Linked DNA regions of Notamacropus eugenii. The protein of the gene in region 2 interacts with the protein of the main gene of each other region in a biochemical or structural test. Links are inferred from orthologs where the notes say so. Each region holds a gene or a part of one and is shown on either strand. Other genes may lie near its edges. The genes, in order: RAD9A, TOPBP1 and RHNO1.

What was found.
Region 1: the proteins of TOPBP1 (region 2) and RAD9A form a complex in vitro, tested with the Homo sapiens proteins (4 studies listed by BioGRID). The link is inferred for Notamacropus eugenii from reciprocal best matches to the Homo sapiens genes TOPBP1 and RAD9A.
Region 3: the proteins of TOPBP1 (region 2) and RHNO1 form a complex in vitro, tested with the Homo sapiens proteins (2 studies listed by BioGRID). The link is inferred for Notamacropus eugenii from reciprocal best matches to the Homo sapiens genes TOPBP1 and RHNO1.

Annotation. Positions count from the first base shown.
Region 1 is NC_092873.1:19,857,273-19,861,015, reverse strand, and holds RAD9A (cell cycle checkpoint control protein RAD9A), read right to left. Parts: upstream 2,768-3,743; 5' UTR 2,646-2,767; coding exon 2,612-2,645; intron 2,535-2,611; coding exon 2,464-2,534; intron 2,372-2,463; coding exon 2,240-2,371; intron 2,153-2,239; coding exon 2,038-2,152; intron 1,949-2,037; coding exon 1,849-1,948; intron 1,708-1,848; coding exon 1,598-1,707; intron 1,515-1,597; coding exon 1,408-1,514; intron 1,256-1,407; coding exon 1,191-1,255; intron 1,095-1,190; coding exon 978-1,094; intron 774-977; coding exon 584-773; intron 462-583; coding exon 366-461; 3' UTR 120-365; downstream 1-119. UniProt on the Homo sapiens protein: Component of the 9-1-1 cell-cycle checkpoint response complex that plays a major role in DNA repair. The 9-1-1 complex is recruited to DNA lesion upon damage by the RAD17-replication factor C (RFC) clamp loader complex.
Region 2 is NC_092874.1:41,878,801-41,882,543, forward strand, and holds the start of TOPBP1 (DNA topoisomerase 2-binding protein 1), read right to left. Parts: upstream 2,325-3,743; 5' UTR 2,112-2,324; intron 1,835-2,111; 5' UTR 1,829-1,834; coding exon 1,745-1,828; intron 1,471-1,744; coding exon 1,336-1,470; intron 1,094-1,335; coding exon 950-1,093; intron 159-949; coding exon 1-158. UniProt on the Homo sapiens protein: Scaffold protein that acts as a key protein-protein adapter in DNA replication and DNA repair. Composed of multiple BRCT domains, which specifically recognize and bind phosphorylated proteins, bringing proteins together into functional combinations.
Region 3 is NC_092874.1:202,999,507-203,003,249, reverse strand, and holds the start of RHNO1 (RAD9, HUS1, RAD1-interacting nuclear orphan protein 1), read left to right. Parts: upstream 1-1,178; 5' UTR 1,179-1,391; coding exon of another isoform or gene 1,392-1,448; intron 1,449-1,492; exon of another isoform or gene 1,493-1,579; intron 1,580-1,718; 5' UTR 1,719-1,805; coding exon 1,806-1,973; intron 1,974-3,733; coding exon 3,734-3,743. UniProt on the Homo sapiens protein: Involved in microhomology-mediated end-joining (MMEJ) DNA repair by promoting recruitment of polymerase theta (POLQ) to DNA damage sites during mitosis.

The DNA.
Region 1 (3,743 bases), on a different chromosome or scaffold from region 2:
TGAGTCCCATCTGGGCTCAGCTGCTCTGTGCCCTTATCTGGTCTTTTTTGAATAAATGTCAAAGCTGGATTCTCACTGGCCTATTAGCCTGCCTTTTGTCCAGAATGACGCATGTCTGCTTCAGGATTGGGAATCTTTATTGAGGAAGGAGGGGTTGGCTGTGGTGGCCAGAGCAGAAGCAGAGCCAGCGTCCGCTTCGGGCCCAGGGTGGAAGTGACCAGGTTCTTCCATCTCCATAGAGACCCCCATCCTCCTCAAGCACAGTTCAAGTCTTTTCTGACACAAAGCAGGCAGAGGAGCAGACTCGCCAGACGCTGCTCCTGAGAATGTGAGGTGGCCCAGCTGCTGCTGTCCCTGAGAGCCAATCAGCCCTCTCCCTCACTGTCTTCTGCTAGTACCGGGTTGGGCTCAGAGGGAGGTTCTGTTGGGGCCAACACTGAACCAAAGAACAAGGAACGGAACTAGAAGCAGAGAGAAAAGCAGCACTGAGTACAGGCCGCCACCAAGCCAGCCCACAAACCCAGGGCAGAACGCACCATCTCCCCACACCCCACAGGGAGCAGACAAGGGACCATTTGTTCACCTTTTTCAGGGGAGGGGTTCCAGGCACCACATTGGGCTCTGCCTCCTCTTCCTCTGACACAGGGGAAGGGGTCCGGGGGGCCACCAGTGCCCCATCACACACAGTAGTCTCCATAGCGATCATGTAAGAGTCAATGTCATCGTTAGCAAAGTCATCCAGGTGTGTCGTGCTAAGGGAGAAAGGCCCAGAGCTGGGGACAGGGTGTGTGGCCAGTTTTCCAGCAGAAGAGGGGGCAGGCTGAAAGGCACCCCACCCACAATGTCACCAAGCCTTAACTGAACTTAGGAGGAGGGCAAGACCTGGAGGTAGGAGGTCTTGGGGAAGGTGGGGGAGAGGAGCTGGACCAGAAGGGCAAGAGGAGGGGGGAAAAGAATGCTGTGGAGCGCCCCCTCACCTGTGAGCCCCCTCCTGGGGTGGACAAGGTTCCTGAGGGCAGAGGTCAGGCTCAGAGAGGGTAGCCAGGACAAAGTGACCGTCCAGCAGCGAATCCTCAATGATGAAGATGGCCGGCCTGGTGGGGAGGGACAAGAACCACTCTTGGCCACTTGGCAAGAGTGGGAGGGGGCAGAGACCCCAGAGCAGGTCCCACTTCCTGCCCATCTTATACCTTCCAGGAAGATCAAAGTGGATGTTGAGGGGCAGGTTGGCAGACTCCGCAAAACTCAGGAGACCCTGAAAGAGCAGATCCGGATGTCAGTGGGGCTGGGCAGAGCCTGGCTAGGGCAGAGCTGGTGCAGGGCTGGGCAGAGCGGGGCTAGGGCAGGGCTGGTGCTAGGGCAGGGCCGATCAGGCTGGGGTCACAGCACAGGGGAGAGCCGCCTCACCCGGAACTCCTTGAGGCAGAAGGTGATGGACGCTCCCTCCTGTGCCTGCAGCTGCTGGAATTCGTCCTCACTGAGGCTCATCTCGGTCATCATGGCCTTGGCGGCATCTGGGGGAGGAAGCGGGCCTCTATCCCAACCCCCCTCCAGCCCCTGGAGGACCCCCATCCCTCCCCCCCAGGTCCCCCCTCACCTGTGTCCTCCTCCAGGTAGCTCCGGAAGACAACCCTGCGGCCCCGGCTCACGCCCAGCGTCACCTCCGAGAGCGCCGGGGAGAAGGGCGCCACGGCCTCCACCAACACCCTGCCCAGAGCACGAGGGGCGAGGCCACTCAGCACAGCCCAAGGACCCTGCCCAGCCCGCCCGGTGTACTAATGGGGGAGGTCCTCCATTCTGGGGTGGGGGGTCTGTGCCCGTGAGCGACCACGCATGTCCCCAGCTCACCGGGCGGGGGCGCGCAGCACATGTGGACACCTGGCGGGGTCGAAGATGGCCTGGAGGGACTCACACTCCTGGAAGGACAGGTTGTGGGTCTTGGTCACACCTGGGGGGGCGCAGGCACGCACCGAGGTGAGTGGGGCGGGGACACGGCGCCCCCCCCCCCGGCCCCGCCCCTGCCGGCCCCGCCCCCACCGTGCTTGCAGTGCAGCTGGATGACCAGGCGGCTGCTCTCGGGGCTCAGGGCGATGCAGCAGCGCTCCACTGTCTTCTCCAGCGCCGCCAGCGAGCGGAACACGGACAGGAAGGACTGGCGGGGGGCATGGCGCGGCCATCAGCGCGGCAGCAGGCGCGCCCTGCCCCCGCCCCGTCCTCCCGGCCCGCCCCGCGCCCCCACCTTCATGAGGACCTTGCAGCGCGGTGGCTGCGCCTGCGGGGGCCGGGCCGCCTGGTAGTGCTGGAAGAAGAGCGGGGCGAAGAGGAAGCACGCGAAGGCCGAGCGCGACGCGTTCACCGTGCGCAGCGACAGCTGGGGGCGGAGATCAGGGGGCGGAGGTCAGAGGGCGGAGGCCAGCGCGCCCAGCCCACCCCCACCCCGCCGCTTGGCCGGCGCCGCCTCACCCCGTCCTCCAGCGGCTCCATGTACAGCTCGTCTCCGATGCGCGACAGCGAGTGCGCGGCCTTACCCAGCACTGCGTTAGGGGAGGGAGGTCAGAGGGCACAGGCCGTGACCTCCGACCCCTGGCCCCGGCCCTCGCCCCACACTCACCCCGCACATTTCCTCCCGTCACGAGGCACTTCATGTCTCCCGGTCCGGCCCGGCCTTCCCCCGCCACCCGCTCTCGGGCCGGCCGGTCCCAGCACCCAGGCTCGGCTTCCTTCCCGCGCGCTGGGCCCGGGTGCCGGCCCCGGCCCGCCTCGCCCTCTCATTGGACCTAGAGTGACCGACGCAAGGCACCTCCGTCACGTGGGCGGAAAGCCAGCCTATCCGTGCCGCGGCCTGCACCAGGTGACAGGACCTCGGCCGGTCCCTTCGTGTCACGTGACGAAACCGCCCTGGCCCCTCCCGCTTGAGGGGTGTGGCCTGAGGACAGCCCCGCCCCGGGAGGCGCGTGCGCAGACGCCTCCGTTGCCTTTGGAGGTCTATGCCTACTCTCTCAAAGGCCGGAGCCCCAGGCCGGTGCCCGCTGTGCAGCTTCAGAAACTGCGGCTGTAACGTGGGAAGAGACGCAGCCCGGGCCCTGGGAAAGGCTGCGATCGGAGTTCCCTGCCTTTCTGAGCGCTTTTTCGCAAAAACGTTATCCTTGCTCGTTGTAGATCGTTCTCCTTTGCGGGGGGCGGGGGGCGGGGGCGGCCCAGCCCACCCCGCCCCAGCCCAGTGCCTGCGTGCAGTAGGTGCTCCATAAATGAACACTTGTGCAAAGAGCGAGCGAGTGCACGCAGGGCGATCGCCCCTCGGGGAAGGCCGCTTGTTTGTTCTTGCCAAGAGTGCCTGTGCGCACAGCAGGGGACCTTGATGGACACCTCTCTGTGTCTCCAGCAAGGGGCACTCGCACTCCCGGGGGGGCGGGGCGGCGGCCCCGGTGCAGGGAGGGGGCTGGGGAGAGAAGACACCGCAGGGGGCTCCTTGGCTGAGTTTGTCCAGTCAAGCTCTGCAGCCCAGGGGTGGGATGGCCCCGGCGGAGCAGGAGCGGAGCCGGGATCCAGAGAATCCCATTCAGCCGCCTGCTCACCTTAGGCGAAGCGGAACAGCCAGGGAAGGACCAACAGGTACTTAGAGTAGGGGCACCATCCAGAGCAGCGATCCTCCGGGTCGAGTCGAGTTGGGTCTATAAGCACTCCTGAGGACCCATTAGCCAGGTCTGGTGCCGAGGCATGCAGAGAAAGCCCGAGGCAACCAG
Region 2 (3,743 bases):
TCTTTTACCCAAGAAGGAAGCATAATAGGTTTCCCTAGATTTGCAGCCACTAAATATTTTTTGCTGCCGACTTCACCAGCAATAAGATGAGTTACTGATATACTTAAGTCTCTGCAAACTCGTCCGCCCATCATTTGTACATATTTATGAACTTCTTTCTGGAGTGAAAAAGGAAGAGGTAAGAAATATGTTAATCTATAATCATTGTTACCCGTTTTCTAAAGCATTCACTACATTATGTCCACAACAAATTCATATTCATTTAATCACTACAGCTGTGCTATGTTTATGATTTATTTATATATGAATATATAAATGCACAATGATGCAACAATTAAGATGAACAATTTACAAAGAAATACGAAGATCTTCAAATGGTTAATGGCTCTACTGAAAGACACTAAAAGCACAATTCACTAAGTTGTTTTTTTTTTCATTTAAAACCCTAACGCTAACCAACTTTATAGAGAGCACTTAGAACAACATAACAAGGAGAGAAACAATGTTCTGGAATGAGGACTCATAGTCATTTTGTTACAGTGACTGGGACAAGACCAGGGCATCTATGATCTGAAGAAGGATGAAGCAGGTATCAGAAATTATGGAGCATGAAACTGCAGTCCTGTGGCTAGAGCAGCTGAGGTTACAAATTGTCTGCATGATATTAATATGTAGGGCTTTGGTTATATTGCATTTATAACATTATTATGAAACATCATTGGTTAGGATGACTTGTGCTAGGTACAACTCAATTTGAAGATCACCTCTTATACTGCTAGGTCCTAACCCTCTACTATATCTGTTAACTGTGTCACACAAAATAGCCAAAGGAAAACATCTGCTCTCATGTGAAATAAAATTCGAAACATTTCACAGTACAGCTTAACCAACAAAAAAAATTCATATAAAACATACATATCGATGTTATCATCCTACTAAAACATCTTACCCTTGTTTCTTTGTCAAGGCTTGTACAAGAAATAGTTACGTCTGCCATAATCATATTATAGACTGGATACTCTGCTTTTGGAACACATCGTTGGTGCTGCATACAAAATATGACTACTTGTGGGCCGACAATTCTACAGCCAAGCTACAGAACAGAAAACACAAGGTTTATGTTGTTTGAGTAGCGAAACAAAGACGATTTTCCTTCACTTGTCTTCCCTTCTGCCAACCACTTCACCAGCCTTCGTGCCTATTTCTCCAAGGCCAGTTCTTCCAGCAGCGTGAGCATCCATGCACTAGGACACACCGCAGATCTGTCATTCCCGGGGATCCCGCGGCCCTCCCGTTTCCTCGTGCATCACACCCAGACGCGGTCACTTAACGCACCTTTTTGAGGTGCTCGAACACGGCGCCGCTGAAGGGGTCGCAGATGTACAGCGATCGGTCCTTCTCCGTCACGCTCAAGGCCTCCTCCTCGGCCACGGTCTGGAGATACTCTTCCGACTGGAATTCCTTCATAGACTGTTTGAAAGGCGAAGCGAGAGCGCACGTCAATCATTCAGAGGAAGGCCCCAAGCAGGCCGCGCTGCGCTTCGGGAACGTTTCGGCAGCGGACCAGAAATGCTGCCCAGGAGCACGGAGCCGGGCCGAGCCGGGCCGGGCCGAGCCGGAGCCGAACCGGGCCGAGCCGGAGCCGGAGCCGGAGCCGGGGCCGGGGCCCGCGCCGCTCACAAACCCGCTTCTACGCGGCGGAGACGTTGGGGTCCGCCCGCCCCCCCACGGCCCATCCACTCACCCCAAGCGCGGTAAAGAAACCCTCCGAGTTCCCGGGCGCCTTCACAAACTTCACGTAGTACGGCTCTCGGTCACTTTCCGACATGTCGACCTAAGACCAGAAGGCGCCGTCAGCACGGGGCCGCGGGCCCGGAGGCCGAGCGGCAGCAGGCCCGAGGGCGGGCCCGGAGCTCCGGAGGGGAGGGGGCGGGGCCGCCCCGGCCCCCGACCCGCAGCGCGGGCCCCGCAGGCGCCTCAGGGCATTCGGCCTCGAACCCGGCTCGGCTGCCCGGCTGACAGGACCCCCCCCCTTCCCCCCCCCCCCGCCGCCGCGGCCCGGGGCGGCCACACAACGGTCGCCCCCAACGCCGCCCGTCGCCCTCACTCACCGCCCCGGGGCTCCGACGTTCTGAGGCGGCGGCGGCTGCAGTCCGGGGCGAGCGTCGGGAGTGAGGCGGCCGACGCGGCGTGAGGAAAGGCCGAGCGCGCGCCGGGGGCGGGAGGGGGGGAGGGGAGGGGGAGGGGGTCGAGCGGGCTCGGAGCCGCACCACCAAGTTTCGCGCCAACCCGAGGGCTTCCCCTTCCGCCACGGGGCGGAAGTGACGCCGCGGGGCCGTGCGGAAGGGGAGGAGACACTTCCTGTCGCGGCTGGATCTAGTTGTCCATCCGTAGCCTTCCGCACCGGGCGGAAGCGATGCGATTGACAGCTTCCGGGAAGGGGAAAGGATCCGGCCTTGGCCTCTTTCTTGGGTTCCTCTTCCACCTTGGGCTTCTACTCCGGACCCTGGCCTAGCCCGGAGTGTAGGAAGCAGCCATGGTAGTCACCGAGTCTGGAAGGGCCGCGGAGGGCTTTGCAGAGACGCCGTCCAGGGATCCGGAGCCACCCCCGGCGACTTTCCCCTCTGGGCCGCTCTCCCTGTGGACCAAAGACCGGGCCTGGAGCTCGGCCGGAGCAGAGGCGGCGCCTGCTTCCGGGAGCTCCTCCCTCCTGCCCTCGGGCCCCCGGACTCCCGGGCCCCCGCTAATAAGTGGAACCCGGAACCGTGCGCCCTAGGGGGCACCCGTTAATATGTGTGAGTAGGAGCTGAAGGGGTGCATACCTACTCGGAATCCAGCAGCATGTGGGGAGAGGCCTGGAAATGATAGGAAAGTACCCCAGAGCAGCAGCGTGCAGATGCAGGCCGTAAACCAGACTTGTGACGGGCCCGGCTCCGAGGGCCCTCCATGACTCTCCACGGCCAGGTGAAACTTCTTTAGACTTGCAGAGGTTCTAGTTGCATCCAAGAAAAAAGAAGCAGTTAGAATTTACAGATGCTGGAAAGGGAAAGAAAGATGTATCATTTCTAACTACGCAAGCTTTACACAGAGCTAGTGTAAGATATTTAACCAAAGATACTGTAAGAAGAGGAAGGAGGATTGTATGGCAAAAGATGACAAAAGGAGAGTGACTTCAATTCGAGTTGTAAATCATTCAGCAAGTACTGAGACTGGTTTGGAAGTTACAAGTAGCAACGATGATCTTAAAACTGAGCCAGAAAATCTTTTTATCTCTACCCAGTGAATTGTCTTGAATTAAATTATTCAGTCTCAGCTAATTCCATACTCTAAGAAAAACTCCAGCAGATTTTCCTTGTAAAATTAAACGGTCATGCTGGAGCCAGATAAAAAGAAAGCTGAAGATTTACAATGAAGGAAACCTACAGTAGAGTGGGGGGCCAGGACTTAAAATTTAAAGAGGTGTGCCCTGGGTTTTAGCTGAGTGGTACAGGGGATAGAGCACAGGACTTGGAATCAAGAAGATGAATTACAGCCTTGCCTGAGACATTGGGTTGCAAGTCACTTAACCTCTGTGTACCCAAATTTCCTCCTCTGTAAAAGGGGGAAGAAAACAAGAGGATCTACTTAACAAGGGTTGTTGTGGATCTGATGTAACTACATGTAACATATGTAAAGCACTATATGAATGCTATTATTATCAGTAATATAGTTGAGAGCAAGCTTTAGAGTATAGCTTGCCCACC
Region 3 (3,743 bases), about 160 Mb from region 2:
TTGTCTCCATCTCTCTTAAGTTTGACCCTTTACTGCCATCCCCTCCCCCCAAAACCTTCAAATCCTGCTTCCTTTTTTTCAGTATATCCTTTCCCAAAAGCAAGTCTTCCTGCTCTCTCCCACTCCTAACACTAGCTCAGTTATGTATTTGACTGCACCTACACGGCCCAGGGTTAAAACATTAAAGGGGATACATAACAGAGGAAACACAATTTAGCTCTCACCTTCAAGGAATGTCAAATTTAATAATGCACATTTACCAGTAATGATAATACAGGGTCTAAGGTGCATAATAAACATTAAACAAAACGCTGAGTGGTTTCACCATCCAAGGTCCTTTGCAAAAAGCCTTTCACTACCCCACACTGAACAGAGGAGGGCACGACACCGCCAGCAAGGGGGGTCGAGAGATTCCTGGGGTTACAGATTGGGTCCCTGGGCCCAACCTGCTGCTGAATTCCGCAGGAGGCTGGGGCTGCACCGGCATTATGCGGCCGGGCCGTGATCCGGCCCGCAGTGGAGGGGGCCCCGGTGGCCCGTCCCGAGGTGCTGTCAGGTCCGGCCGCACCGTCTGCAGCCGCGGCACCTCGAGGACTCCCTCCTGCGGGTCACTCACTCCCTGATCAAGACTCCGAGGTCGGGGCCCGGCGGTCGCTGCGGAGCTGGGATCCAAGCTCCGGCCCGCGACCCTCTCTCCGGGGCTCCCCGCGTCGGCCCAGGAGCTGGGCATTGGAGGGGGCCCATTTTAAGGAGGACGGCTGCGGAGACCTGCTCCTTTCCCGGTCCGGGGCTCCCACCCCGCCCGGGCTCTCTAGGGCCCTCCCGGGGAGGGAGGCAGGCTGGGGACCCCCGCCACCCGAGACTCTCACCTCAGCACTGCGGCCGCTGTCTCCACCACCGCCCCAAGGTAGGCCTGCAGGGGTCGGGTTTCCCTTCAGCCTCAGCCCGCCGGGGCTGAGCCAGGGTCCAGGAGCAGGCCCAGGGCCGCTAGGGGCCGGGTCGGCCAGGTCCCCGGCCGCGGGGGGGAGGGGTGGGGTCGCCGGGAGGGGGGGAGGGGGAGGAGGGGGATAAGGGGCTTTCAGTTTGTTCCGCGGTTTGAAATTGGCGCCGGCGGAGCGTTGCCGGTCACGTGACGCGGGCGCCGCCAATCGGGACCGAGCGTCGTTTAAGCATTCGGGGCCGGAACTCTGCCCGGCCTGTCAAGGGGCCGGGGCCTGGGGGCAGAGGGGCCGGAGCCTCCCGAGTGAGGGAGGGGGAGGACGAGGGAAGGGGCCGGATACAGCTGAGCCGGGCAGCTGAGAGTGGGTCGGGCGGACTTCCGGGGCTGGCTGAGGGGGCAGGGACGCGGGGAGGCGGCGCCAGGAGTCCGCTCCCCCGGAACCCCCTTTCTCATGCTCGAGCTTTTGTTCCAGGTGCTTTCTTCCTTGGAGGACTTGCACTCACCCAGTGTAAGTGACCCCACTGCCTCCCACCCCCACCCCTTCTCAGAGCAGCACCTCCCTTTTCCTGCAGCGCTGAGCCTGGTACATAGTAGGCGCCTAATCTATGCTGTTGCCTTGAGTCCCTCCTGCATTTTCAGGTTGGTGGTTCTGGGACGTAAATAGCAGCCTCCCTTTCCCGCTGAGAGCGATGATTAGTCTGGCCCAGCGTGGTGGGCTTTGCTGCCCCGGGCAGTGATCGGTTTTCTCTGTCTGCTTGTTTTGTTGTCTGATCTCTAGGCATGGGTGAGGATCCTTGCTCATCTCCCCGACGTATTTCCCCAGGCAACATGAGGCTACTCACGGTCCTTCCCTCCTCGACTGTTGATGCCTCCCAGGAAGAAACCCAAAAGTCAGTCCCGGAAACCACAACTGGCATTCCGAGAGGGGCCTCTGGAGGGTCCCATGCATCCCTATGGATCCCCACAGCCAGCCGCAGCCCTCCCAAGGCATGCTCGGGTCAAACCAGTAGATCACCAGACCATCACCTCTTGGGTAGGACCAGCGAGTTCTTACACTGGGTGCTTTGGGTACGAGGTGACTCATATTGTGGGTACTGTCTTTGACCCACATCAGGAGGAAGGTCACTCACCCACTTAGTGGTACACAGGAGCAAGAGGCCCTAATTCCTAAACCATAACTCCTCAACCAACTGCTCTTCCCCTAAGTTGTAAAAATGGGCAGTTGCTGAGAGAAGAGCTAGATAACTGGGGGCTGATCAGGAAATAGCCAATCAGAGGGAGAATTGTTGACATTTAGACTGGCTTTACTTTGCCCTGCTATTCTTTTTAAAGAGCAGTGACTACAGTGGGGAATTTTGGGACATTGTGTTCATTTTCTTGCTGGAAGGTCTCATCCTTCCCTCCCTACCGTTCATTCATCCCCCTCCCCCCCCCCCCAAAAGACTAAAGAGTAGTCTGAAGATTCAGTAATAATGTGCTTTTGCTTTGGTGTTCCCTTGTTACTGTTGACCTTTAGTGGCTGGCCTGATAAATCAAGACCTTACCTACACCAATTAGCCAATAATACCTTCAGGAACACTTGAACCCACCTTTTTCCTTTTCTCTCTCCCAACCACTGATTCAGTCAATCAGCAGGCATTTGTTAATAGCTTTTATTAAGTGACAGGCACAGGGGATACAAATACAATTAATTGAACAATTCCTATTTGAGAAGTTGTTTATATTCCAAAAGATAAGACAATATGTACATACATATATGTGTTCATATCTTTCTAAACATACATATGCATTCACATGTATGGATATGTAGAATACAAAGTAGTTAAAGACTAGTAGTTTAGTAGGGAGGGCATTAGCATTAGTAGGGGGATTTGTACATGTACAAGGTGGTGCTTGGGCTGTGTCTTAAAAGAAGAGAGATTCTAAGAGAACAGATATGAAGAGGAATTACATTCAAGGCATGGGGGCAGCCATGGAAAAGCATAGAGATAGGAGATTGTCTTGTGTGAGGAACAGAGGAAAGGTCAGTTTTGACTGGACTGTGGGAGGGGGAGTGTTCACTGAGGCTGGAAAGATAGTTTGGGTTCAGGTTGTGAATGGCTTTAAAAGGTAAAGTTAATATTTTATCTTAGGGGCCATAGGGACTTGCTAGATAGAGTTTACTGAGTAGGAGAGTGACAAGGACAGAAACAAGATTCTGAGCATTCTTAAAAATGCAGGGTCTGATGATAAAAGTAGCGGCATGATATAGAGAAGAGAAATGTATTTTTCTTTGGTCCCAGATACTGTATGTTCTTCTTTAGATACATTGTTTACTATCTAATAGCCTGCTATAAAGTAACACCACACACTGGAAAGTTTTAACATTCTGAAGACTCCAGCTGAAAGAGTTTTGGATTATGTTGTGAGAAAGAAGTAGAAGTTAAGAGCAGGGGCCAATTTTGGACTTCAGCTTCTGCTTAAAGAGTGCTTTAAAAAATGACTTGTTAGAAGTTGTTGGAAAAGCAATAATCCATACTCCAGGAATAGGGTAGATACCTAATAAAAATAACTCACAAAGTTTTATATAGTGTTTTTCTCATAAAAATCCTATAACTTCATAGCAGGTTTCAAACCCAAAGCTCCTGATTCCAAGTCTGGTGCTCATGCCTGTAGAAAATGAGCTCATTTTAATGTGGATAGGCTCTCATTTTAGAAAACTTGAGCATTATATCTGTGGCTTCTTGAATGGAGATGAAGTAATTTCCAGCAATGTTTGTGGTTCTGGGCTGACAGCTTCTGTTTGTTTCTTAGGTGTCTCCTC